Callithrix jacchus: one gene and its partners. The protein of the gene in region 2 purifies or fractionates together with the protein of the main gene of each other region. This does not show direct contact. Links are inferred from orthologs where the notes say so. Each region holds a gene or a part of one and is shown on either strand. Other genes may lie near its edges. The genes, in order: NEURL4, MAPK6, ECI2, ECH1, CEP170 and UBE3A.

What was found.
Region 1: the proteins of MAPK6 (region 2) and NEURL4 purify together in Homo sapiens (affinity purification with mass spectrometry; 6 studies listed by BioGRID and IntAct, counting the BioPlex papers as one, with this or other methods). This does not show direct contact. The link is inferred for Callithrix jacchus from reciprocal best matches to the Homo sapiens genes MAPK6 and NEURL4.
Region 3: the proteins of MAPK6 (region 2) and ECI2 purify together in Homo sapiens (affinity purification with mass spectrometry; 3 studies listed by BioGRID and IntAct, with this or other methods). This does not show direct contact. The link is inferred for Callithrix jacchus from reciprocal best matches to the Homo sapiens genes MAPK6 and ECI2.
Region 4: the proteins of MAPK6 (region 2) and ECH1 purify together in Homo sapiens (affinity purification with mass spectrometry; 3 studies listed by BioGRID and IntAct, with this or other methods). This does not show direct contact. The link is inferred for Callithrix jacchus from reciprocal best matches to the Homo sapiens genes MAPK6 and ECH1.
Region 5: the proteins of MAPK6 (region 2) and CEP170 purify together in Homo sapiens (affinity purification with mass spectrometry; 3 studies listed by BioGRID and IntAct, with this or other methods). This does not show direct contact. The link is inferred for Callithrix jacchus from reciprocal best matches to the Homo sapiens genes MAPK6 and CEP170.
Region 6: the proteins of MAPK6 (region 2) and UBE3A purify together in Homo sapiens (affinity purification with mass spectrometry; 3 studies listed by BioGRID and IntAct, with this or other methods). This does not show direct contact. The link is inferred for Callithrix jacchus from reciprocal best matches to the Homo sapiens genes MAPK6 and UBE3A.

Annotation. Positions count from the first base shown.
Region 1 is NC_133506.1:73,812,029-73,816,113, forward strand, and holds the start of NEURL4 (neuralized-like protein 4), read right to left. Parts: upstream 2,801-4,085; 5' UTR 2,720-2,800; coding exon 2,438-2,719; exon of another isoform or gene 1,726-2,437; intron 1,247-1,725; coding exon 802-1,246; intron 593-801; coding exon 527-592; intron 380-526; coding exon 81-379; intron 1-80. UniProt on the Homo sapiens protein: Promotes CCP110 ubiquitination and proteasome-dependent degradation. By counteracting accumulation of CP110, maintains normal centriolar homeostasis and preventing formation of ectopic microtubular organizing centers.
Region 2 is NC_133509.1:39,734,697-39,738,196, forward strand, and holds part of MAPK6 (mitogen-activated protein kinase 6), read left to right. Parts: intron 1-214; coding exon 215-359; intron 360-3,500. UniProt on the Homo sapiens protein: Atypical MAPK protein. Phosphorylates microtubule-associated protein 2 (MAP2) and MAPKAPK5.
Region 3 is NC_133505.1:26,392,816-26,397,099, forward strand, and holds the start of ECI2 (enoyl-CoA delta isomerase 2), read left to right. Parts: upstream 1-1,484; 5' UTR 1,485-1,491; coding exon of another isoform or gene 1,492-1,535; intron 1,536-1,676; exon of another isoform or gene 1,677-1,953; intron 1,954-2,007; 5' UTR 2,008-2,154; coding exon 2,155-2,330; intron 2,331-3,521; coding exon 3,522-3,684; intron 3,685-4,284. UniProt on the Homo sapiens protein: Able to isomerize both 3-cis and 3-trans double bonds into the 2-trans form in a range of enoyl-CoA species. Has a preference for 3-trans substrates.
Region 4 is NC_133523.1:34,385,852-34,389,807, reverse strand, and holds the start of ECH1 (delta(3,5)-Delta(2,4)-dienoyl-CoA isomerase, mitochondrial), read left to right. Parts: upstream 1-1,156; 5' UTR 1,157-1,164; coding exon 1,165-1,228; intron 1,229-1,749; coding exon 1,750-1,957; intron 1,958-2,110; coding exon 2,111-2,199; intron 2,200-3,521; coding exon 3,522-3,560; intron 3,561-3,956. UniProt on the Homo sapiens protein: Isomerization of 3-trans,5-cis-dienoyl-CoA to 2-trans,4-trans-dienoyl-CoA.
Region 5 is NC_133520.1:42,946,952-42,950,451, forward strand, and holds part of CEP170 (centrosomal protein of 170 kDa), read left to right. Parts: intron 1-1,737; coding exon 1,738-2,214; intron 2,215-3,500.
Region 6 is NC_133507.1:4,598,063-4,601,096, reverse strand, and holds part of UBE3A (ubiquitin-protein ligase E3A), read right to left. Parts: intron 285-3,034; coding exon 141-284; intron 1-140. UniProt on the Homo sapiens protein: E3 ubiquitin-protein ligase which accepts ubiquitin from an E2 ubiquitin-conjugating enzyme in the form of a thioester and transfers it to its substrates.

The DNA of each region.
Region 1 (4,085 bases), on a different chromosome or scaffold from region 2:
ACCCTCCTAGCATCAAGGGCCAAGCCCCATCTTTAGCTCCCAGGGACAAGGCGACAACCAGACCACAGGACTTTGCACACCTCAAACATCTCATTGTCCCGAAGTGGGCGGTTGGTCATGACAACCCCATTGTTGAATTCATCCAGGGGCCGCCTGCGCTCAGCTGTTTTATTATTGTTGCTGAGTTTGATGAGGGTCCCACACTTTTCATGAAATAGCAGGGCATCGTTGGAAGTGAGAATGGGAGAGGTGGCAGCACCGCTAGACCCCAGGCCTTCCCCTGCCGGTGGGGAGCTCAGGTTCACATTCAGGAGCCCTCCACTGTAGGCAGACAGGATGGTGTTGCTCACCACCTCGGACAGCTCCATGCTGGCGAAGTCTATAGCAGCAGGATGGAAGAAGAAAGCTGGGATGAGGCTCTATGCCCCCAGGCTTGGTGCCTCTCTCTGTACCCCTTCTTCTGAGGGCCTTCCCTTGTCCACTTCACTTCCCACTCCCCTTCCCTGGGCCTCCCCAAAGCCCTCACCATTATGCGACTCAAGGCTGTTAGGAAACGTCTCCGGCCGGGCCTGCGCTGGGGACACCATGAAGGCTGGGGACCAGGTAGGATGGGAGGGGAATAAGGGTTCAGTCCCTAATTCAGGGCCCACAGCCAGGAGACCCCCCATCTTCTAGCTCCCGCTCTCCCATTCAACAGACTTGGGGATCAGAATGGCCCTGCCCACACCCAGCCTGTCTTGTCACTGTTATTTCCCCCATTCCATCCCCACCCCGCCACCACTGCCCTAGCTCTTTTCTTACCTTCATCAGCAGAGGTCCCCTGTTCAGCCAAGGCAGAGTCTTCAAGGGGGGCCAAGGGCTCGAGGGGAGGTGTGGGGATGGGAGTAGGGGGGCTGAAGCCTGGCTCAGAGGGTAGCACAGTGATCTGGGTGCACTTGCCATAAAGGTCCACGACAGCCCAGACACGAGGGGGCAGGCCTGTGGCAGCCACTCCACAATCCCGCCCATTCACCCAGAGCCGCAGCTCCCCAGCAGCTGTGCGCTCCACGCCCACACGGTCCCCTTCGCCAAGCTGGTCCAGGTCCTGACCATACTCCTCCAACACAGAGCGTCCATCTCTCAGCACAGAGCAGCCTGACACTACCCATGAGCCCCCCTTCAGCCCTGTGGCACTGCTTGGAAAGTCCAGCACACTGGGATCCAGCGCTGTCACCCCAATCTCAATGGAGCCACTCCAGGAGTTGACCTGGGATAGGGGTAGTGGACAGAGGCTTAAAATGGGCCACCCCTTATTCCACAGACTACCATATCTTCCCACCTCTCAGATAGCTAACTGGCTTTCTCTTGGAACACTAATCCAGAGATGCAAATAGTAATTTTCTGGACTCTGGCTTGGTAATTATTTGGGCTTTCTTTCCTTTAGCAACTCTGCTTTCTACTCAGTGTTTACCGCACCACTCCTTTCCAAGCCAAACAAGCGTTCCTTAGTTCTAGCCTCCTGTCTCCTCTGACTTCCCTGGTCTCTATGGCTCTCCAACCATCCAAATTCACCAACTTCCTATACCCACACCTCTTGCTCTTGTGTATCATTCCCTTCCCTTGGCCTAATTCTCTCCAAGGATCAGGCTCTACCCAGATTCAGCCTTCTCCCAAGTTCTTTTTCTGTGAGTGTAGCCTCTTCAGTGAATCACACACACCTCCCTCACCCTGGATAGTTCTCCTCACCTCTTTCTGGCACAGCCTGTGAGTTTGTCCTTCAATGGTTTGTTATTGCTGGGTTTTTTTTGTTGTTGTTGTTTTTGTTTTTTTGGTTTTTTTTGAGACAGAGTCTCACTCATTCTGTTGCCCAGGCTGGAGTGCAGTGGCACGATCTCGGCTCACTGCAACCTCCGCCTCCCAAGTTCAAACCATTCTCCCGCCTCAGACTCCAGAGTAGCTGGGATTACAGGGGCACGCCACCACGCATGGCTAATTTTTGTATTTTTAGTAGAGACGGGGTTGTTTCATCACATTTACTAGGCTGGTCTTGAATCCCTGACCTCAAGTGATCTGACCACCTCAGACTCCCAAAGGGCTGGGATTAGGTTTGTTCGTTCCTTGGTATCTCTCTTCTCTTGCCATCGCATCTCTGACATCTCTCCATCCTCCACGCCCAAGAAATTGTACCAGGAGGTCTAGTCCCAGCCAGTCTAGCGACTTAGCCCTTGTGTCCCTTCTTTGCTTCTGGATCTTGAGAAAACTCAAGCTCTTAATGTCTTCTCCTTCAAACTGAATGTTTCTGATTCATGCTGTCTTCCTGCCCGTCCCCTGGTGCTCTATCACCTTTCGGTTCCCTCGGTGCCCGGCGATGTGAGCTACCCAGGCTGTCCTACCCCGTCTCCCTCTAGTCCCCTCCCACCGCCCTCCACATCTCGGTTCCGCGAACCCAGCGCTGCACCTTGCGGTCGATGCGGACGGTGAAGACGCGTCCATCGCGCAAGGGTTCTCGGCTCAACACCAGCCCGTGGTTAAACTCCTGGCCCGGCTGCTGCCGCCGCGCTGTACGCCCACAGGCCGACAGGCTCACCAAGCGCCCAGTACGCGGATGTAGCTCCCCGCCGCTACTGAGAACCCCGCTGGACCCCGGTCCTGAGCTGCTTCCGCTGGGGCCCCCACCCCCGCCCGGCACCGGTCCGGGGCCTCCCCCAGAGCCCCCACTCCCACCCGACCCCGCCGCCATCTCCGCTGACACCGGGGCAGCGCGACAGCCGCGCTTGGCGGCACCGTGGCAACCGCGGCGGGCAGACACCCTGAGGAATACGACCGGGGGCTGAGGCCAGGTATGCTTTACGGCACTGCTGGGCAATGAAGCAGCCCGAGCTAGGAGCTGGGGACGACCACGGTGAGAACCGAAGGACAACGAGGTCGGGAGGCTCACTTTACGGCATAGCGGGGTGACGGAGTGGCTCCGAGAGGGACGAAGACTTGGGAAGGGAGCTTTTGCGACAGTGGAAGACACGCCCACCGCAAGCATCTTTACGACGGTGGGGTGCTGGAGTCTAAACACTTTCTGCTTTGCGACAGCGGTACCGACAACTCCGCCCTGGCTTGGGGGAGGAGACACCTTGAAGCACTCGCTTTACGGCAAGAGGGGGGAGTGAGTCCCTTCTGGCTGCACGCTCCGAAACAGCTTGAGCCGAGTCTGGAGGACCCCGGGAAGTGGTAGTGAAAGTCTATGCCCGCAAGGTCACTGAGATCAACGTGTCTTGCGACAGTGCCGCAATCCCTCTACTTTGCCTCACAACTCTCCGGAGAGACCGAGCGAGCCGACTGGCGGGGCTGGGGGAAGCTCGCTGATATTTCAAGTCAAGCTCAGCCTCAACTCCAACTCAACCAAACTAGTCGATGTTAAGGCCAAAAATAGTCTAAAGAATCCTGACAGGCAGTTTCGAGCAACGGCGCTGAGGACCCCAAAAAAATCTCCCCTAGGGCCATTAAGCCCCCAGCCCAACTCCCCGACGCTCACCCTCAGGCTGAAGGACCGTGACGTCACAATCGAGCTTCTCGCCCCCTGGCCTGGCCCCCTGACTGGGATTGGCTGATTTGGATGAGGGTGGTGATGGAGAAGGGCGGGAACAAATCGCACAAAGGAAGAGTCTTTAGGTGGAACAAAGGAAAGGGGCGAGTGGAGGGACTTCCAGCCCGAGTCTCGATTCCACCCGCCGCGGCTCGGGAGCAGAGGAGAAGGGGACCCGGCACTCTGCCGGAGCACCCCTGGCCGGCCCTACGTGGGGGCGGGGCTAGGGGCGCGGCTAGTGGAGCCGGGAGGCGGGGCGGGATCGCTGAGAGCGGCCCCCGGGTGGGGCCTCGGAGAAGGTGGAGTCCCTAGGGGCTACTGGCGGCCTCAGCCGGGACTCCCCTGGAGGGGCAGCGGGAGGAGTGCCCCGAGCGGTGAGAGAAATCGAGGCAGGCGCTGGGCAGCCTTCCGGAGTAGTCTTGTTTCACGGTTCTAGGCCCCTAGTGCTCTCAGAAGGCAGTTTAACTCGCAGTACTGGTGCAAGCTGGCGCTCCACGGGGATAGTTGTCCTTGGTTCCGGGCCCAGTCA
Region 2 (3,500 bases):
AGCTGGGATGCTAGGCATGCACTACCATGCCAGGCTAATTTTTGTATTTTTAGTAGAGATAGGTTTCCCCATGTTGCCCAGGCTGGTCTCAAACTCCAGGTCTCAAGCAATCCACCCACCTCAGCTTTCCAAAATGCTAGGGTTAAAGTTTTAAGTGCTATTCTTTAGGTAAAGTAAAAAAAAGGTATGTATGTTATGTTTGTTTCTTTTGTAGGGTCATCTTTCTGAAGGATTGGTTACTAAATGGTACAGATCTCCACGTCTTTTACTTTCTCCTAATAATTACACGAAAGCCATTGACATGTGGGCAGCAGGCTGCATCTTTGCTGAAATGCTGACTGGTAAAACCCTTTTTGCAGGTTAGTATTTTGTGGGGAAAAAAGTTATCCCAAAGAGAAATAATTTTGCATTTATCTCTGAAGCAAGATCCACATAAGATTTAAAATAATTTGTTGTGATCTAGAATACTAAAATGAACAGATAAATTGGTGTTTTTATTTAAAAAATTGAGAAAACTTATTCACATATTTGCTAAATTGGTCACTTGATAAATTATCAGAACTCTAGTGTTCAGATATAATTTCATATGTTGTGGACCCATAATACTTGTTGGTAATTTGTGTTGATATTTGAGTTGCATAATTCTGTCAGTGTGGTCACTTCCTGGTGAAAATTTTAAGCTATTGTTGAAAATCCAACAAATGTTTCTTGGTCCCCTCCCTCTATAAATAAACAAGTAATTTTTTAAGTTTGGTGCTATTTAGAAGTGTAAAGAAGTATGTGAGAGAGAACTTTGTCAAGATGAGATAAATCATCCATGAAAAATGTCTTGTCATAAAGCAAAGCATGTGTCTGTATAAAATTATTTAATATAGACTAGAGCTATAAACTTAGAGAAGCTATGCATCAGTGATTGCTAGAATGGAAGGTATTATGGAGTCCAAAAGATTTTTCACTATTTAGAAATAGCGAGGAATTTTAACTGGGGAAGAGAGAAAATGTGTTATTTAAGGGTACCCATATAAATAAAAGCATAAGCCTAGGGCATTCATGAATCTGAGATTCATGCACGTTGTCAAATAACAATAAACATATTTATGACTAGTTAAGATGGGGTCCGAATACTAGAAAGTATTTTAGAAAGTAGGTAGAGGACTTTCCATTTGGAAAAGTAAAAAAAAAAAAAAAAGGGTTCTGAAAATTTTTTTAGTTGGGGAAGTGATGTGGTAGTGATTTAGGCCTTTTTCTGTCTTTTGACATTATTTTTTTGTTTTATTTTGTTTTGAGATGGAGTCTCGCTCTGTTGCCTTGGCTGGAGTGCAGTGGCAAGATCCCGGCTCACTGCAACCTCCGTCTCTCAGGATCAAGCAGTTCTTCTGCCCCAGCCTCCTGAGTAGCTGGGATTACAGGTGTGCACTGGCATGCCTGGCTAATTTTCTGTATTTTTAGTAGAGATGGGGTTTCACCATGATGGCCAAGTTGGTCTTGAACTCCTAACCTCATGATCTGCCTGCCTTGGCCTCCCAAAGTACTGGGATTACAGGGGTGAGCCACTGCGCCTGGCCTTGACACTACTTTTTTCCCCACTATAACAATTTTTAGAGTGGCCCTCCCCCGCCAACTCCTGGACTGTGGCAAGAGCAGAAGGAGAGGAATAGGCCAGGGTCTATTTACATACGAAAGATTAGTGTACATAGGAGAGCACTGGTTAAGAAAGGACAGCATGCATAAATGTCTTTTAAGTATATTAATGCCAGTACTTAGTTTATATAACATTGACCAGTCCTTTATAATTTTTTTTTTATATTTATGTAAAATTTCTGGCTTGGGTGCATGTGGTGGCTCATACATCCCAGCACTTTTGGGAGGCTGAGGTGGGTGGATCACTGGAGGTCAGGAGTTCAAGACCAGCCTGGCCAACATAGTAAAACCTCATCTCTACTAAAAATAAAATTAGCTGGGCGTGGTGGCTAACGCCTTTATCCCAGCTACTGGGGAGTCTGAGGCTGCAGTGAGCCAGGATCACACCATTGCAGTCAGCCTGAGCAACAGAGAATGACACTGTTTTAAAAAAAAAAATTGCTTGGCGTGGTGGCTCATGCCTGTAATCCCAGCACTTTGGGAGGCCAAGGTGGGCGGATCACAAGGTCAGGAGTTCAAGACCAGCCTGGCCAACATAGTGAAGGTCCATCTCTACTAAAAATACAAAAATTAGCCAGGCTTGGTGGCGTGTGCCTGTAATCCCAGCTACTTGGGAGGCTGAGGCAGGAAAATCTCTTGAATCCGGGAAGCTGAGTTTGCAGTGAGCCGAGATCACACCCCTGCACTCCAGCCTGGGCAACAGAGCAAGACTCTGTCTCAAGAAAAAAAATAAAGAAATTTTTTTTTTCCTAAGATGTGTGATAGTTTTCTAAATTGAAATTCAATCACTATGAAAAAATATGAGGGATTCCTGGAAGCTAAATGATTAAATGGATTTTTTTTTTTTTTTTTTTTTTTTTTGCTTAAGAACAATACTGTGATTGGAGGTTTTGTTGCTGATATCAAGTGCCTTCCAGCATATACAAATAATTCCGTATTATTTGTTGTGGTGTGACAAATTACTCCAAAACTTAGTAGCTTAAACAACAAACATTTATTATTGTCTTAACAGTTTCTGCTTGTCAAAATGTGGGAGTGGTTTAGTTTTAGCTCAGGTTTTCTCAGTCAAGTTGTTGTTAAGGGCAGCAGTTACCTGAAGGTTTGACCAAGGCAGGAGGATCCACTTCTAGATAGCTTACTTACATGACAGTTACCAAGAGGCTTCGGTTCCTCACCATGTGAGCTTCTCCATAGGATTGCTTGAGTGTCTTCATAATATGGCAGCTGACTTCCTCTAGAACTAATGATTCAAAAGAAAGCAAGGAGAAAGCCAGTAAATCTTTTTAAAGTATACAGTTATATTTTTTAGTGTATTTACAGAGTTGTGTAACCATCACCAGAGTCTAATTTTGGAACACTGTCTTTGCTCCTAAAAGATCCTGCAACCATTAGCAGACACTTCTCATTTCCCCTTTTCCCCAGCTCCTGACAACCACTAATCTACTTTATGTCTCTGCGGATTTGCCTGCTCTGAATGTTTCATATAACATTTGGACTTTGTGACAGGCTTCTTTCATGTAGCAGTATTTTGTAGGTTCACCCATGTTGTGGCATATGTTAGTAATTTTTTCCTTTTTATGGGCAAATAGTATTCTGCTATATTAATATACCATGTGTTGTTTATCCATTCATCAGTTGATGGACATGTGGGTTTCTACTTTTTCTTAATTATGAATAATGCTGCTGTGAATATTTGTGTGCAAGTTTTTGTGTGAACATGTTTTCAGTTCTCTTGGGTATATGTACCTAGGATTGGAATTGCTGAGTCGCGTGGTAAATCTTTGAAGAACAGTTTTCCAGCACAGCTGTACCATTTTACATTCCCGCCAGCAATGTATGAGAGTTAAATTTTGTCTTTT
Region 3 (4,284 bases), on a different chromosome or scaffold from region 2:
CCAACCACAGTGGGGACCAAGGGCTGAGAAAATAACTCCCCTCTCTGTAACTGGTGCCTATGTTATTTATCAGCCTTGAAAATGTTGCAAAATAATGTTTTTCCTGCAGCCCAAGGACCTGCTCTGAGGCACGTAGACCACGTTTGTACAATCTAGACCCAACCCTTAGAAATACCTCTGTCACCCGAGTGACTTACTGCCTTTGTTTAACTTCTGTAATTCTTTCTCTTTTCCCTTCCACATGTAAATTAGCAAATCAATGAAGGCCAACGACTGTAAGGTCAGATGTCCAGCCAATAGGCAATGACAGTTTTACCTTTGCTCCCCCCTTGGGTTGTATGCCTTTAAAAAGAGAAAAAAACTGCTTTTCGGGGAGCTCTGTTTCTGGACTCGAGTCCACCAATGCTCCACAGCTAGCTCTTCCTTCCTTACTCGCGTGTCTGAAGAGCTCTGTCACCGGCTCATCCTGCAACATGCCCACCTGCAAGTGTCATGCCTTTGGGCAAGTCACCGGATTAATCTTTCTGGGTCTGTTTCCACATCAGTTCAACAGGGCAATATGCTCAACAGGGCAATATCATTTTCCTTACAGTGTTGTTGAAAGAATTACAATTAGCCTGGCTCACTATAGGTAGTCCACAAGTGTCAGCTACATAAATCTAAAACGCCTAGGCATGCTTGAATAGCACACCTGGGGCACCGGATTTAGAGGGGTGGTTTTGTTTTGTTGTTTGATTCTCTGGGAACTGGACAAGGTGGCACAGCCAAGGCCCTTCCAACTTTTAAGAATTCTTCCCCAAAGAAAATACTTTGCAAATGCCTCAGCACAACTCAAAAATATCCAAACTCTGACACTAAAGAGTTGGATACCTCACAAATCACTTCTGATCCTCCGGCGTCCTACCAGGTCTGCAGGCCTTCGATTTGGGGGTGCATGACATAGCCGCTTTTAAGCACACGCCCTCAATTGCTATCCCGCCTCCCGGCTCACGGCTGGCCCTCGGGACGCAGCGACCCCTCCTCGCCAGGCTCCCCAGGGCCCCGGGCAGGGGGCTCCGAGCTCCGGCAGCCGCAGAGTTCTCAGAGCTGAGGTCCGCCGGAGGGAGCAGCCGGGCCCCAGGTCGCAGATTCTTGGAGCCAGGCCCGGAAGCATTTGTGCCCTGCCCCACGCGCCGCTGAGGTCCTTCCCGGGTCAACGTCCCCGCGCCCCACGCCCTTCTTCCACTCCGGGAATACCCGGCCCCGCTCCCCGCACCCAACTCCGGCCCCGCCCCCGCCCCCGCATCTCAGCCCCGCCTCCTAACTGCCTAGAGCCCCGGTCCCGCCCACGCCCCGCCTCGGGTTCCGGCTTCACTTTCAGCCTGACCCCGCCCCCAGCCCTGGTCGTTCTCCGCCCTTCCCCACCCCCGAGCCTCGGCAGTCCCAGAGCCCCGGCCCCGCCCCCGAACCCCGCCGCCTTAGAGCCCCGGACGCCCAAGGTCGGGGCTAGATATGGCAAACCCGGCCTGGAGACTGGCGCAGCGTTCGTGTCCGAGGTAAGCCTGGAGCCCCGGCCGCCCTGCCCAAGGTCGCCCACAGGAGACGGCTGTCCAGGCGAAGGTCGCCGCCGGTGGGAGCGCCCCCCCGCCGTTATCTTGTCTGGGTGGCTACAGAATTTTGTTTTGCTGGTTTTCCAGCGAGAGTTCGCTGGAGTGACCACCTAACGCGCGCGCCCTCCTGCACCGCTGGGCCCAGAGTGGTCAGGATGGACGCGTCGTGAGATCAGGGCTGCGGCTCTCTGTTCCCAGTCCCCGAGGTCTCCGCCGGCGGCCGCGCAGTGCTCCCATCCTCCTGGGGCCGGACTCCGGGCCCTGGAGCCGCCCCCGCTGGGCACGGTGCTTCTTCCGGCGGCCGGGCCTGCACTTCCCAGCCGGGATGCTTCTGGGGTGCAAAGCGTTGCTTGCTAAAAGTGAGGTAAACGTAAGCAGTTATCACTCGTGTGGACTTAACGCTCTTTGCTTTTTGGAGAACACGTATGCAGTGAAGCGAAGTGGCCGTGTGCGCGGCGACGGCTAGGAAGCGCGCTCCACCTCCCTGGGATGCGGGGAACCCAGCCCGAATCCGTGTATAGGGAACAAAACCGGAACATGATGGTGACCTTGAAGTGGTGGAATTATGAGTGATTTTCCAGACCTTAGGTATTTTCCTATATGGTCGTGTTTTTGCAATTTGTTTTTAAAACTCACGCATTATTTAAAAATAAATTTGTTCCACATTTTGTGGAAACGCACATTTCGGCTTTCTGTGGACACTTTAAATTTTTCTTTCGTTTTCTGCTTGGAATTTGTCATGTAAGTTGCAGTTTTTCCCTTTACAGAAAAGCAATTTAATATAAAACTTACTGTAGGCCGGGCGTGGTGGCTCACGCCTGTAATCCAAGCACTTTGGAGGCCAAGGCGGGCGGATCACCTGAGGTCGGGAGTTCAAGACCAGCCTGACCAACATGGTGAAACCCCGTCTTTAAAAAATAAAGAAAAAAAAAAAAAAACTTACTGTAGACTGATCTTACTGAATCAATTACTAAGTCCAAGGTTTGAACCTAGAGTTCATTGTACCATTTTCTAGTTACATAATTGTGTTTGGGGGGTGATACATGTTAGGTTTGAGCTTTGTAACCTGTATTATTTTAATCATCTTTGATGCCATTAACTTCCTTATTCAGGGTCATCGTCGTGAACATTCATGTTTTGCTTGTGGCCTGAGTCCTTTGAAGTTTGCCACCCCACCCCTGTTCACTGTGTATGCTTAAAAACGTGCTGATCACCCCGCGGTGCTTGCTGTTTCTGCTCTGCTCCTGGCTGGCTGGCTAAACAGCCCCATAGAAAGGGACAAGCCTGCTGAGCCCGCTTCACTGACTCCCTTGCGCTGCAGATAGATTCCCTCCCACCTGCTGAGAAGGCTGTGGCTCTGTCTGGAATGCCATCATCTGTACATAATGTCCTTTTGAACATTTCTTGTATGTTCAGCCATTCTCCCCTCCTATCACCTGTGTATATGTTGGATCACCGGTTTTGCCAGCAAAGAGGGAAAAATTGACCTGATATTAGTTTATGGGTTGTTTAGCAGTGAGTGCAGAAGCTGTTTTAGGACTTTGGGACACTGCACTAAATTCTGTGCACTTAGCCTTTGGTCTCCTGCTGTTCACTATCTTGCATGCTTTTCATTTACTTCTTGCCTATGGCAAAATTTACATAGTCATTCCTGTTTTGGCTGCTTTTATCTTTAATTGCTTACAAATACCTCACTGGATGGTTACTTTTCCCTTTATTTATTTATTTTATTTACCATGAGCTTCTGTATTGATTTCTTATCTTGAAATCCTTACAGCCAATTATTTGCAGCCAGTTTGCTAGGGCAAGTATAAAGAAAATATTTATGGACAAACATGGGATTTTGCTATGTATGGGCTGGGAACAATTAGAAATCAGGCTGCAGAAATGTGAGGGTTGGGAACAAGTAGACATCAGTCTGCCTCATTGTAGTCATCTGCAGGTTGTTAGTTTCCCAGTAGTTCAGCTGCACATGAATAGAACAGCAATGAGAGCCAGTCAGAAGGACTTTGAAAATGCAGTGAATCAAGTGAAACTCTTGAAGAAGGATCCAGGAAACGAAGTGAAGCTAAAACTCTACGCACTGTATAAGCAGGTAAATGCCAACTGTCTGACATTATTTAAAGAATGTTGGGCAAATGACTCCTTAAATAGATACACTGTGTGTTTACTAAAATGTAGCCTTAATATTTTGGGTTTGTCTTGCTCCCTCTTAAGAGTATATATATATATGTGTGTGTGTCATTTTTTAATATTACCTTGAAATACTATTAATAAAGTAACCCCTCTGTGTCATGCCAGAGTAAAAGAGACTTACGAAATATAATATTCAAATTTGTAGACCTTATTTGGCTCTTAATTGGAATAAACCAATTGAAAAAGATATTTTTAAGACAATTGGGGAAGTTTTGAATAAGGACAGAGTATTAGAAGATGCTTAGAAATCATTGTTAATGGTGTCAAGGTTACATAAATGTTGATATTTTTAAGAAATGGGTACTAAGGATATAGAGGTGAAACAGCATGGATAGTTGAAGTTCTCTAAGCACAAAAAGAAAGAAAGGGATAGATGAGGCCAGGTGTGGTGGCTCACACCTAATTCCAGCATTTGGGAGGCTGAGTCGGGTTGATCCCTTGAGGTCAAGAGTTCGAGACCAGCCTGGCCAACATGGTGAAGCTCTGTCTGTCCTAAAAA
Region 4 (3,956 bases), on a different chromosome or scaffold from region 2:
TCAGAGTTTTCCATGATATAAACAGTCTGCTGTTGATGGGTAGTTAATAGTTCTGTCTTCCAAAAGAGCCTGTTTCTCTAGTCTGTGAAACCAGACAGGAGACAGGTTCATTAGAAAGAAAAGATACTTCCTTCAGTCCCATTGGCCCAGAGACATGTGTTCACCACCTTGCTCCGTGTCTCCCTAAGGAGCATACTTAAGCAGTTTTACAGTACTGTTTTATGCCCTTGGGTAACTGGCTTTTCCTAAGGGAGTTCCATTTTGTGTTTTTTAAGAACAGGAATTTTTTTTTTTTTTTTTTTTTTTTTTTGAGACAGAGTGTTGCTCTGTTGCCCAGGTTGGAGTGCACTGGAGCAATCTCGGCTCACTGCAACCTCTGCCTCCCAGGTTCAAGTGATTCTCTTGCCTTAGCCTTCCAAGTAGCTGGGACTACAGATGTGCGCCACCAGGCCTGGTTAATTTTTGTATTTTTAATAGAGACAGTGTTTCACCATGTTCACCAGGCTAGTCTCAAACTCCTGACCTCACATAATCCACCCGCCTCAGCCTCCCAAAGTGCTGGGATTACAGGTGTGAGCCACCACTCCCGGCTAAGAACATGAACTCTGGAGCCAGGTAATCATGCTTTAGCCTTTCTGAAGCCCAGCGACCTTGAACCTAGTGCGTTGCGGTGCCTGGGCCAGTTTCCTCTGCATACAGTGGGAAATAGTATGATCTCGTGGGAGTTCATATTATACAGTCAGCGCTTAATGTTGGCCCATCTGTACTCATTCCTTTACGTGGGTAAACTCACAGTCCTGCAAGTTTTTTTTCTTTTTAGTTTACTTGATATATACATGCATGATTACAAGCGCTGCTGCCATTATGTCCTTGAACTTTTCAGCTGTCACGAGTTATTCCATCATTATGAAACAGCACTGTGTTGAACGTCAGCGGGAACTATTTGCTTAGTCCAGGTTCCCACTGGGGCAAAGGGCAGTTTCTGAGTCTGGCTGTAATTGTGCCAGGCAACCGGAACTCGGCTGCCCTTAGTAAAGATGGCGGTACAAACGGCGTCATTGCTTGTCATGCTGTGGCATCGACGCCCTCGCTCAACATGGCGGCCTTTTGTGCCCGCCCCCTCGGCTAACGCGGGGGTTTGTGGGTCAGAATATTCAGTAGACGATGGCAGGAGCGATGGCGGCAGGAATGGTGGCTTCTCGCAGACTCCGCGACTTGCTGACCCGGCGTGAGTCACCTTTTGACTTGTGGGGGTCCATCGCGCTGTCGTGCTGTCATAGCAGCTGTAGGACGGGGAGGTCTATCCCGGGTCACAAAGGGCCCAAGCCCCCTAAACTCAGGGATCCCTGTGCTCCCTTCTGAAGGGCTCCTTAATTCTTTTTTTTTTTTTTTTTTTTTTTTTTGAGACTTAATTTTGCTCTTGTTGCCCAGGCTGGAGTGCACAGGCACAATCTGGGCTCACTGCAACCTCTGCCTTTCGGGTTCAAGCGATTCTCCTGCCTCAGCCTCCCAGGTAGCTGGGATTACAGGCATGCAACACCACGCCCAGCTAATTTTTTGTATTTTTAGTAGAGATGGGGTTTCATCATGTTGGTCAGGCTGATCTCCAGCTCCTGACCTCATGATCCGCCCGCTTCAGCCTCCCAAAGTGCTGGGATTACAGGCCACCGCACCAGGCCAGGGCTCCCTAATTCTATAGACCCGTGTCTTGCAGTCCAGGGTCATCAAAAGCTCTCCCTTTCTCCCCAGGACTGACAGCCTCCAACCACCCGGGCCTCGGTATTAGCCTTCGCCTCACTGGCTCCTCTGCACAACAGGAGGCCTCCGGAGTAGCCCACGGTGAAGCCCCAGACCACAGTTATGAGTCCCTTCGTGTGACATCTGTACAGAAACATGTTCTGCATGTTCAGCTCAATCGGCCCAACAAGAGGAATGCCATGAACAGGGCTTTCTGGAGGTCCGACCTGCAGATCTTGGAAGCCTGCCTGCACGGGGAGGTGGGGGCTGTGGGACTGGGCGAGAGTGGAGAGTGGAATGTGGGCAGGGGAGATGGACATGAGGACAGGGTATTTCCCACCCCATCTGTAGCCCTTTACTCATTGCTTCACAGAGAGATGGTAGAGTGCTTCAACAAGATTTCAAGAGACGCTGACTGTCGGGCAGTGGTGATCTCTGGTGCAGGAAAAATGTTCACTGCAGGTACTGGACTCTCCACTCTTCATGCCCACGCTACCAGCCTTCCTAGCTCCTGGCAATAGACAGTAGGGCAGCGCTTCTTAATTAGGGTTTTAAGCAGCTTCTAACTTACACTTATCAGTTTTTTTTTTTCTGAGACAGAGTCTCACTCTATCGCCCAGGCTGGAATACAGTGGCGCGATCTCGGCTTACTTCAACCTCTGCCGCCCGGGTTCAAGCAGTTCTCCTGCCTCAGCCTCCCGAGTAGCTGGAATTACAGGTGCCTGCCACTGTGCCTGGCTAATTTTTGTATTTTTAGTAGAGATGGGGTTTCACCATCTTGGCCGGCTGGTCTTGAACTTCTGACCTCATGATCCACTCACCTAAGCCTCCCAAAGTGCTAGAATTACAGGTGTGAGCCACCGCGCCTTTTTTTTTTTTTTTTTTTTTTTTGAAATGGGATCTTGCCCCTTCACCCAGGCTGGAGTACAATGGCCTAATCACAAATCACTGTAACCTCAAATACCTGGGCTCAAGCAAGCCTCTTACCTCAGCCTCCCAAAGTGCTGGGATTACAGGCAGGTGCCACCACAGCCAGCCCTATCATTTTTTTTTAAAGGCCTAATTTAAAACATTCAAATATAAAAATTAGTCCAACAGAACATGACGGGATCATAGCTCTGAAATCTGGGTTTCATCCTGGATCTCTGGCCATGAATAAGGTGCTTAACTTCTCAGAGTTTATGTTATATAATATAATAACATGCTTTCATGCAACTATTCAACTCACGAACTGATTTCCAGTTACATGTCAGTTAGATCTTTGGATTGACCCACTGGTCTGTTCTTCAGATTGGAGAATTTCCACTGATCACAGGTGCTAACTCTTCCTCCATCTCTACCCTCCTGTGAAGCACATCCAGTGATTTTTTTTTTTTTTTGAGACGGAGTTTCGCTCTTGTTGCCGGGGTAGTGGCCCGTTTGTTAAACGTGCACTCTGAATGAAGAGACCCTCCCCCAAACAGGCTTTGTGTGAGCAACATGGCTGTTTATTCATCCGGGTGCGGGTGGGCTGAGTCCAAAGAGAGTCAACACAGGATGGTGGGTTAGGAGTTGCTTTTATAGGTTTGGGGTAGGGTGGTGGAAAGTTACAGAAGTTACAGTTCAGGGTGGCTTTTGCGAGCTGGGAGGGGGTTGTAGGGTCTGGAGTCACAAGGTTGACCAGGGTCGGTCACAAAGTCCAGTTGCCTTATCAGTTGAGGTGGGAATAAGGAATACTAGAGCATCTCAGAGTTAATTAGGCACCGAAGGGGTTGATCATTCTTCACCTTTTCGTGGTTTTTCAGCTACTTCAGACTTTCCAGTTCCAGGAACTCATCTGGAGTGTACGTGCAGGTTAAAGAGATTACCATGGCATAGTCCATGGTGCAGTCAGTCAGCCTAAGAGACCTTAAACAGCGATCTTGGCTCACTGCAACCTCTGCCTCGTGGATTCAAGTGATTCTTCTGCCTCAGCCTCCCAAGTAGCTGGGATTACAGGTGCCCGGGAGCATGCCCCACTAAATTTTCTATTTTTGGTAGAGACAGGGTCTCACCATGTTGGCCAGGCTGGTCTTGAACTCCTGGCCTCAAGTGATCTGCCCACCTCGTCCTCCCAAAGTGCTGGGATTACGGGCATGATCCAGTGTGCCTGGTCAGTTATATATTTTTTTATTTGTCATGCAGATTTTTCTTTCTGCCATTGAGCATAATGACTGATTTAAAATCTTTGTCACCTAATC
Region 5 (3,500 bases), on a different chromosome or scaffold from region 2:
GTTAATACATTTTATTCTAATGGAAATTTTAACTGACATGACTTAAGAGTAAACACTCAAAGTCCAGGTGAACATTTTATTTTTAAGAAAAAAGATAACTCTTTAATCAAACATTTTTTTAAAACTTTAGTTCATGTTGTATAAATGTATAATTATTTCTATGATAATGTAGAGTTTTTCCAATACTATTCTTTCATTTTCAGTGATAAGGAAAACTGAGTAGATTTTGAAAGGGATAATTTTTTACAGTGAAAATTATAATATATTCTTTAATATTACTTGTTATCTTTGCCTCCTGTTTAGATTTCTTTTTACAATTCTTGTTATTATCTTTATTGTGAAAATGGGGCTTCACGTCTTCAGTGCCCTATCCCACACATTTGATTACTACAGGGAAGTTATTGTAGCATTCTTCTGTAACCTAAAAGCAGTCAAGATTTTTTTATTATATTCAGACTACTGTCAAGAAACCAATTATAGTACCTGACAGATCCCACTAAGATTTAATCTTTATAAAGATGTTTCAAAAGACCAGATGCTTCACTAAATTAGAAAATGTTTGGAAACAACCTTGTCTCTGTGTACTGCCTTGTTTTCCTAATAAGTTGTCTGTAAATGATTTTTCTGTCAATCTGTTTAAAAGCAGAATGGATTCTTGACCTTTAGGGAAATAAATCTCATTTGAACTTTCTCTTCATCTTGATAATGGACATGCTTCTTTTGCTTCTTCAACAACAGCACAATATCATCTTTAATTTTTTTTCTTTTGCATTTACGCTATCTAATAACATACTGAAAACATTTTAGTTACCATTTCCATTTATGTATTTTATTCGTAAATGCATCTATTTTTATACTTTTATATTAGATTCTGAGGCAATAGAAGAATAGTGATAGTGTTTCAGAGTTGCCTGCTCCTTCTGTCAACTCATGTTAATCTGAGGTTTACAGTTCAGCTTTCCTCCAAGGATTTTTGACACTTGCGCACATTCTGCTGCATAGAAATGCAAATTGATTTTCTTCCAGAGTTATTGTCTGGAAACTGAATTTTCTGTTTTAACCTTATTTCTTTAACACTGCTGCTTGGATTGCAAACCACACATTTCAGTCTTTATAAAATGTTGGTATCTTCTTGCAAGGATCACACTTGGCAACTTCTTTGTCATTCTAAAAGTCATGTTTCTGAATGTAATGATGAAGAATGGTAAGTGGAATCATTATTTCCTGAAGATCACTCACGTATTTACTTTATGTTTGTATTCTCAATTGAGCACCTGTTCTCCTTTGGAGCACTACATGTGTTCATATATATTTCAGATATCTCATCTTGGTGACTTGAGAAGGAAGTTCATGGTTTTTCTGTCACTTTTTATGTATACATTGAACATGCATCTCCATCTGCATTTAATTTTAATTCTTTTGCACCTTGATGAATTCTAGATCTGAGTTGGAAAAAATATGGACCTAGCCACAGAAGATCCATTTCTTAACTGCTTTGTTCTCATTTGCCATTACTACTGCTTATCTTGCATCCCCTATTGGTAATCAAATAGCATGTTTTTAACGAAGATTCTTTCTGCTCTGTGACACTTTTTCTGTGATATAAATGCCACTGGGTCATCCAGACTATGATCTGCCATCTGGTTCTCACGGAGTAGTACACATGGCCATTACCAGACTCCTTCAAGTACCAGAAGCAATCAAATATTTTGAATTTTCTCTTATTTTTCTCATTAGGGTGCAGCATAGATGCCAAGCAAGTTGAGGAACAATCTGCAGCCGCAAATGAAGAAGTACTTTTTCCTTTCTGTAGGGAACCAAGTTATTTTGAAATCCCTACCAAAGAATTCCAGCAACCATCACAAATAACAGAGAGCACTATTCATGAAATCCCAACAAAAGACACACCAAGTTCCCATATAACAGGTGCAGGGCATGCTTCATTTACAATTGAATTTGATGACAGTACCCCAGGGAAGGTAACTATTAGAGACCATGTGACAAAATTTACTTCTGATCAACGCCACAAGTCCAAGAAGTCTTCTCCTGGAACTCAAGACTTGCTGGGGATTCAAACAGGAATGATGGCACCAGAAAACAAAGTCGCTGACTGGCTAGCACAAAACAACCCTCCTCAAATGGTTTGGGAAAGAACAGAAGAGGATTCTAAAAGCATTAAAAGTGATGTTCCAGTGTACTTGAAAAGGTTGAAAGGTAAAGTGATTTGATCATTCAGAACTTCCTGTTTTGTGATAAAGGAAATCTAGTCTTCAGTTACTATGCTACTTTTAGAGAATTACATGGTAGAAAACGTTCTGCTTTTTTCAAAGGTTATATTTAATTTTAAAACTCAACATGAAGCCACACTGCTCATGTCCCACTTCCTCATTCAAAATTGTCTTTCTTCATTTCTTTGACAAAACCAGATTGGATTTATGAGCTTATATTTATGCTGTAAAATATGTTTCTTTTTCTTCCTGGACATATATAATTTATTAAGTTCACCAGTAGAATTTTCTAGAAGACGAGTTCCATCATTTTCTTGATTTAAGGAAAATATGTATTCAATTCTGTTCTCTATTATGATCAATTTCTAGATTTTGAAAGAAATTTTAAGCCATTCGGTGTGAGCCAAAAGTTCCGCTTGGGTAATACAGTCAAATCATGGATGAAGTGCTTTAAAGTATTCTCAGTGGCTACTCATAAAACAGAGATTTTTGGTTTAGAAATATTTGGTAGGATCTATTAATCCAGTTTAAAAATTTTTAATATTCAGACTTAAGGAAAATTAGAGTTGAATGTTTATTTTTGAAATAGTTATATATACTTTATTTGTGTAGAACTTGGCCAAAATTAGCAAAATTTGTATGTTTGTACATTTATGTATCAGCTGATCAGGTTTTTTTCTCATTGTTTTTACCAATTGAATTTATTTTAGAATTACTGAATATACATTTATGTTACTCTATCTTATTTTAATTTAACAAGCTTTCTATAAGGAAAATGACTTTGAACAAATTGTGATTATATGTTTATCTGACCATTCTGTCACTATATTAGGAGTTTTTGTGCTCCTGATACTTTATCTGGTACTCAAGCAGGTGATAGGTACTCATTTGAATAAACAATGGGTAACTTCTCTGTCAGTGACAAGACTAGGCTTGATTTAATCTATACCTTATGCCCTGGCATTCGAACAAGTAATGAAGAAATAGTATTCGTATACTTATTTCTGATTTGCTTCTAAGACATTTCAGGACTGTGAGATGATGTGATTACCTAATAATTATTTGGATTGGAGCCTATTATAATATTTAATTATAATTATCAGCAATTACCTGGCATATGTATTTTTGAGACATGATTGTGACCTTCTGGAAAATACATAACTGAGACATTTTATTTATATTTATATAATTTATATGTATATAGGTTAACACTCACAAATAGGCTCTTTATATGAATCGGATAAATAATACTGATATCCTACCTAGTACAGT
Region 6 (3,034 bases), on a different chromosome or scaffold from region 2:
ATTTTCTTAACTGTTTAATATGATTTGGAGATTTGTATATAAAATCACGAATGTGCTTAGAAGCTACAAAGACAGTTCATACATGTATGACGGGGAATGGAAGGTTTTCAGTGGATATATAGTCACAACTTAATAATTACCTTTCCGTGTCTGGGCCATTTTTGGCTATAATCATCTTTAATTTTCCTAGTCCTCCCACAGGTGCTCTGTCTGTGCCTGTGGTAAACTGCAAGAAGAGTCTTTTCTGTTCATCTGTAAATGAATGAACGATTTCCCAGAACTCCCTAATGAGAAAAGATACAATACTGGTTTCAGCTTGGCATTCATTATAACTGGTACTAATATAAACTTATGATTTAAACTAAAACTATATTAAGAGGCAACTTGGAAGTTAATATCAGGAACTCTTCTGGTGACTGAGAATTTCCAAACAAATTTTCCGTAAACAGTTCTGAATACATAACAATTTAGGATTAAAGTAATGCAGCAAAATATTAGTACTGCAGTAGTAAAAAAAAAACTGAGAAAACCCAAGTGTGTAACAACAGGAAGTGACTATGTAAACTATGTTGTAATCACTTCACGTGGTCAGTAATGAACAAAAGACCAAATCCTATGAATTGAAAAAGACTGAAAGGAATATTGTGAAAAATTCCAGGTGCCTTTGGGTATATATTTTATTTATCCTTTCTCTTTTATTCTCCTGGTCTACTCATCCTTTAACGCAACTTTGGGAGGAAAAAGTGGTGATACAGATTAAGGACAAAAGAAAAAGCGCCCCGCCCCCCAAACCCACCTGGCGCCAAATTCAAACCACCACATACCTAATGGCAGTAATACAACAGTTCAATTTTTATATAAACTAGAATACTTTTATCAACTAACATGTGCTGTGTACGGAGGAGAATTATTCTGACATTTCTCCCATATAATATAAAATAATATAATATATAATAATGCAGTTATTATAAGAGAATGATTTATCCCTGTGGCATTCCTAAAATCTGCGTAATAAAGCCATGTTTAAATGACACTTAATGTTACAGTTCTAAAATGTGAAATGCAAGCTCATGAAGTGCTATCTTGAAGTCTGTTTGAATAATCAGGCATCTATAAAATATACAGTAGTTCATAGCTAAATAATTTTAAGATTCAACGAAAGTATTTTTAGTTGGTTATAAATATAAAATGCCTCTTAATATTTATTTACAAAGCTATTTCCAGAGCCAGGTGCAGTGGCTCACGCCTGTAATCCCAGCACTTTGGGAGGCTGAGGTGGGTGGATCACCTCAGGTGAGGGGTTCAAGACCAGCCTGAAAAACATGGTGAAATACCCTGCCTCTACTAATACAGAAAAATTAGCTGGGTTTGTTGGCTATTTGGGAGGCTGAGGCAGGATAATCACTTGAACTCAGGAGGTGGAGGCTGCAATGAGCTGAGGTCACGCCACTGCACTCCATCCTGGGAAACGAGCAAAACTCCACCCCACTTCCCCACCAAAAAAGAAAAAGTTCTTTCCAGAATGGTTAGCAGAGAACATCACACATCCCAAATCAGTAATTATATATATTTTTTCTAGTTTTTGATACTCTAATATTCCAACATACTATTTTTATTATCAAAATGCTGGCATTTTTGTTGCTACAACACCATTAATCTGAAATAAATTAAAACCTTTATTAGAATTCCTGGCGGCCGGGTGCAGTGGCTGACGCCTGTAATCCCAGCACTTTGGGAGGCCGAGGTGGGTGGATCATGAGGTCAGGAGATCAAGACCATCCTGGTCAACATGGTGAAACCCCATCTCTACTAAAAATACAAAAATTAGCTGGGCATGGTGGCGCGTGCCTGTAATCCCAGCTACTCAGGAGGCTGAGGCAGGAGAATTGCCTGAACCCAGGAGGCGCGGAGGTTGTGGTGAGCTGACATCGCGCCATTGCACTCCAGCCTGGGTAACGAACAAAACTCTGTCTCAAAAAAAACAAAAAAAAAGGCAAGGAGAAAGATCACATCAAATGCAAAGAAACTAAAACTAAAGTAGAAGAAATATAAAAGTGAATAAAGCACAACAATAGTACCATATAAACTGAAGACAGAAGAAACATCTAAAAAAAGAAATGAAGCGATGCCTGAGACTCTCCTTGGGGTAGGAGGAATTCTCATATAATTAATTGGTCTGGCAGTGTTCACTTTTCCTGCAAGTGATCTATAGCCCAGGGACACACAGCAGGCAGGAGCACTGCCAGGAACACCAGGCATGGGAGAGCTTGCCACGATAGGCACAAGGCTCAGGAAGCACTCTCCAGCCCACGAAAATCTAGTGGGGGGTCCCTCTTCCCCCACCCAAACACACTCTACACAGATCAGCTTGGAGAAGCCCCCTCAAGCAGGACCACTCGGAACCAGTGAAAGCCCCAGCGGAGTAACATAAAAGCAACAAACCAAAACAGCACCACAAAGGCTCTGAAAAGGGTCACTGGAACCACAGTCCACAAACATGCGCCAAACCTCAACAGGTTACCACCGAAGTAACAATTTTTAGAAGGACAGTCTCCTCACACATCTGTCATACCAAGAACCAGGAAAATCACACGAAGGAAAGAAAATCAACGCCAACACTGGGATGAGTAAGATGTTGAAATTATCTGACAAGGATCTTAATGCAGCCATCATAGAAATGATTTGACAAGCAATTATAAGTTCTACTGTTTCAAAAATGAAACAATAGAAAATCTCAGCAAAGAAACAGAAGTTATAAGGAAAAAAAAGCCAATGGAAATTATAGACCTAAAAAATACAATAAGCGAAAAATAATCATTAGATGGGCCCAACAGCAGAGAGAAGATGACGAAGGATAGAAATCTGAACAAAAGAGAGAAGACAGAGTGAAAGATGAGCTGTGCCTCAAGTACGTGTGGGACAGTAACAGATGACTCAACATCTGTATTGTCAGAGGCCTACTAGAATGGAGATAAGAATGACACCGAAGGAACATCTGAGGAAGCAATGGTTCAACAAATTTCCCATGTTTAGC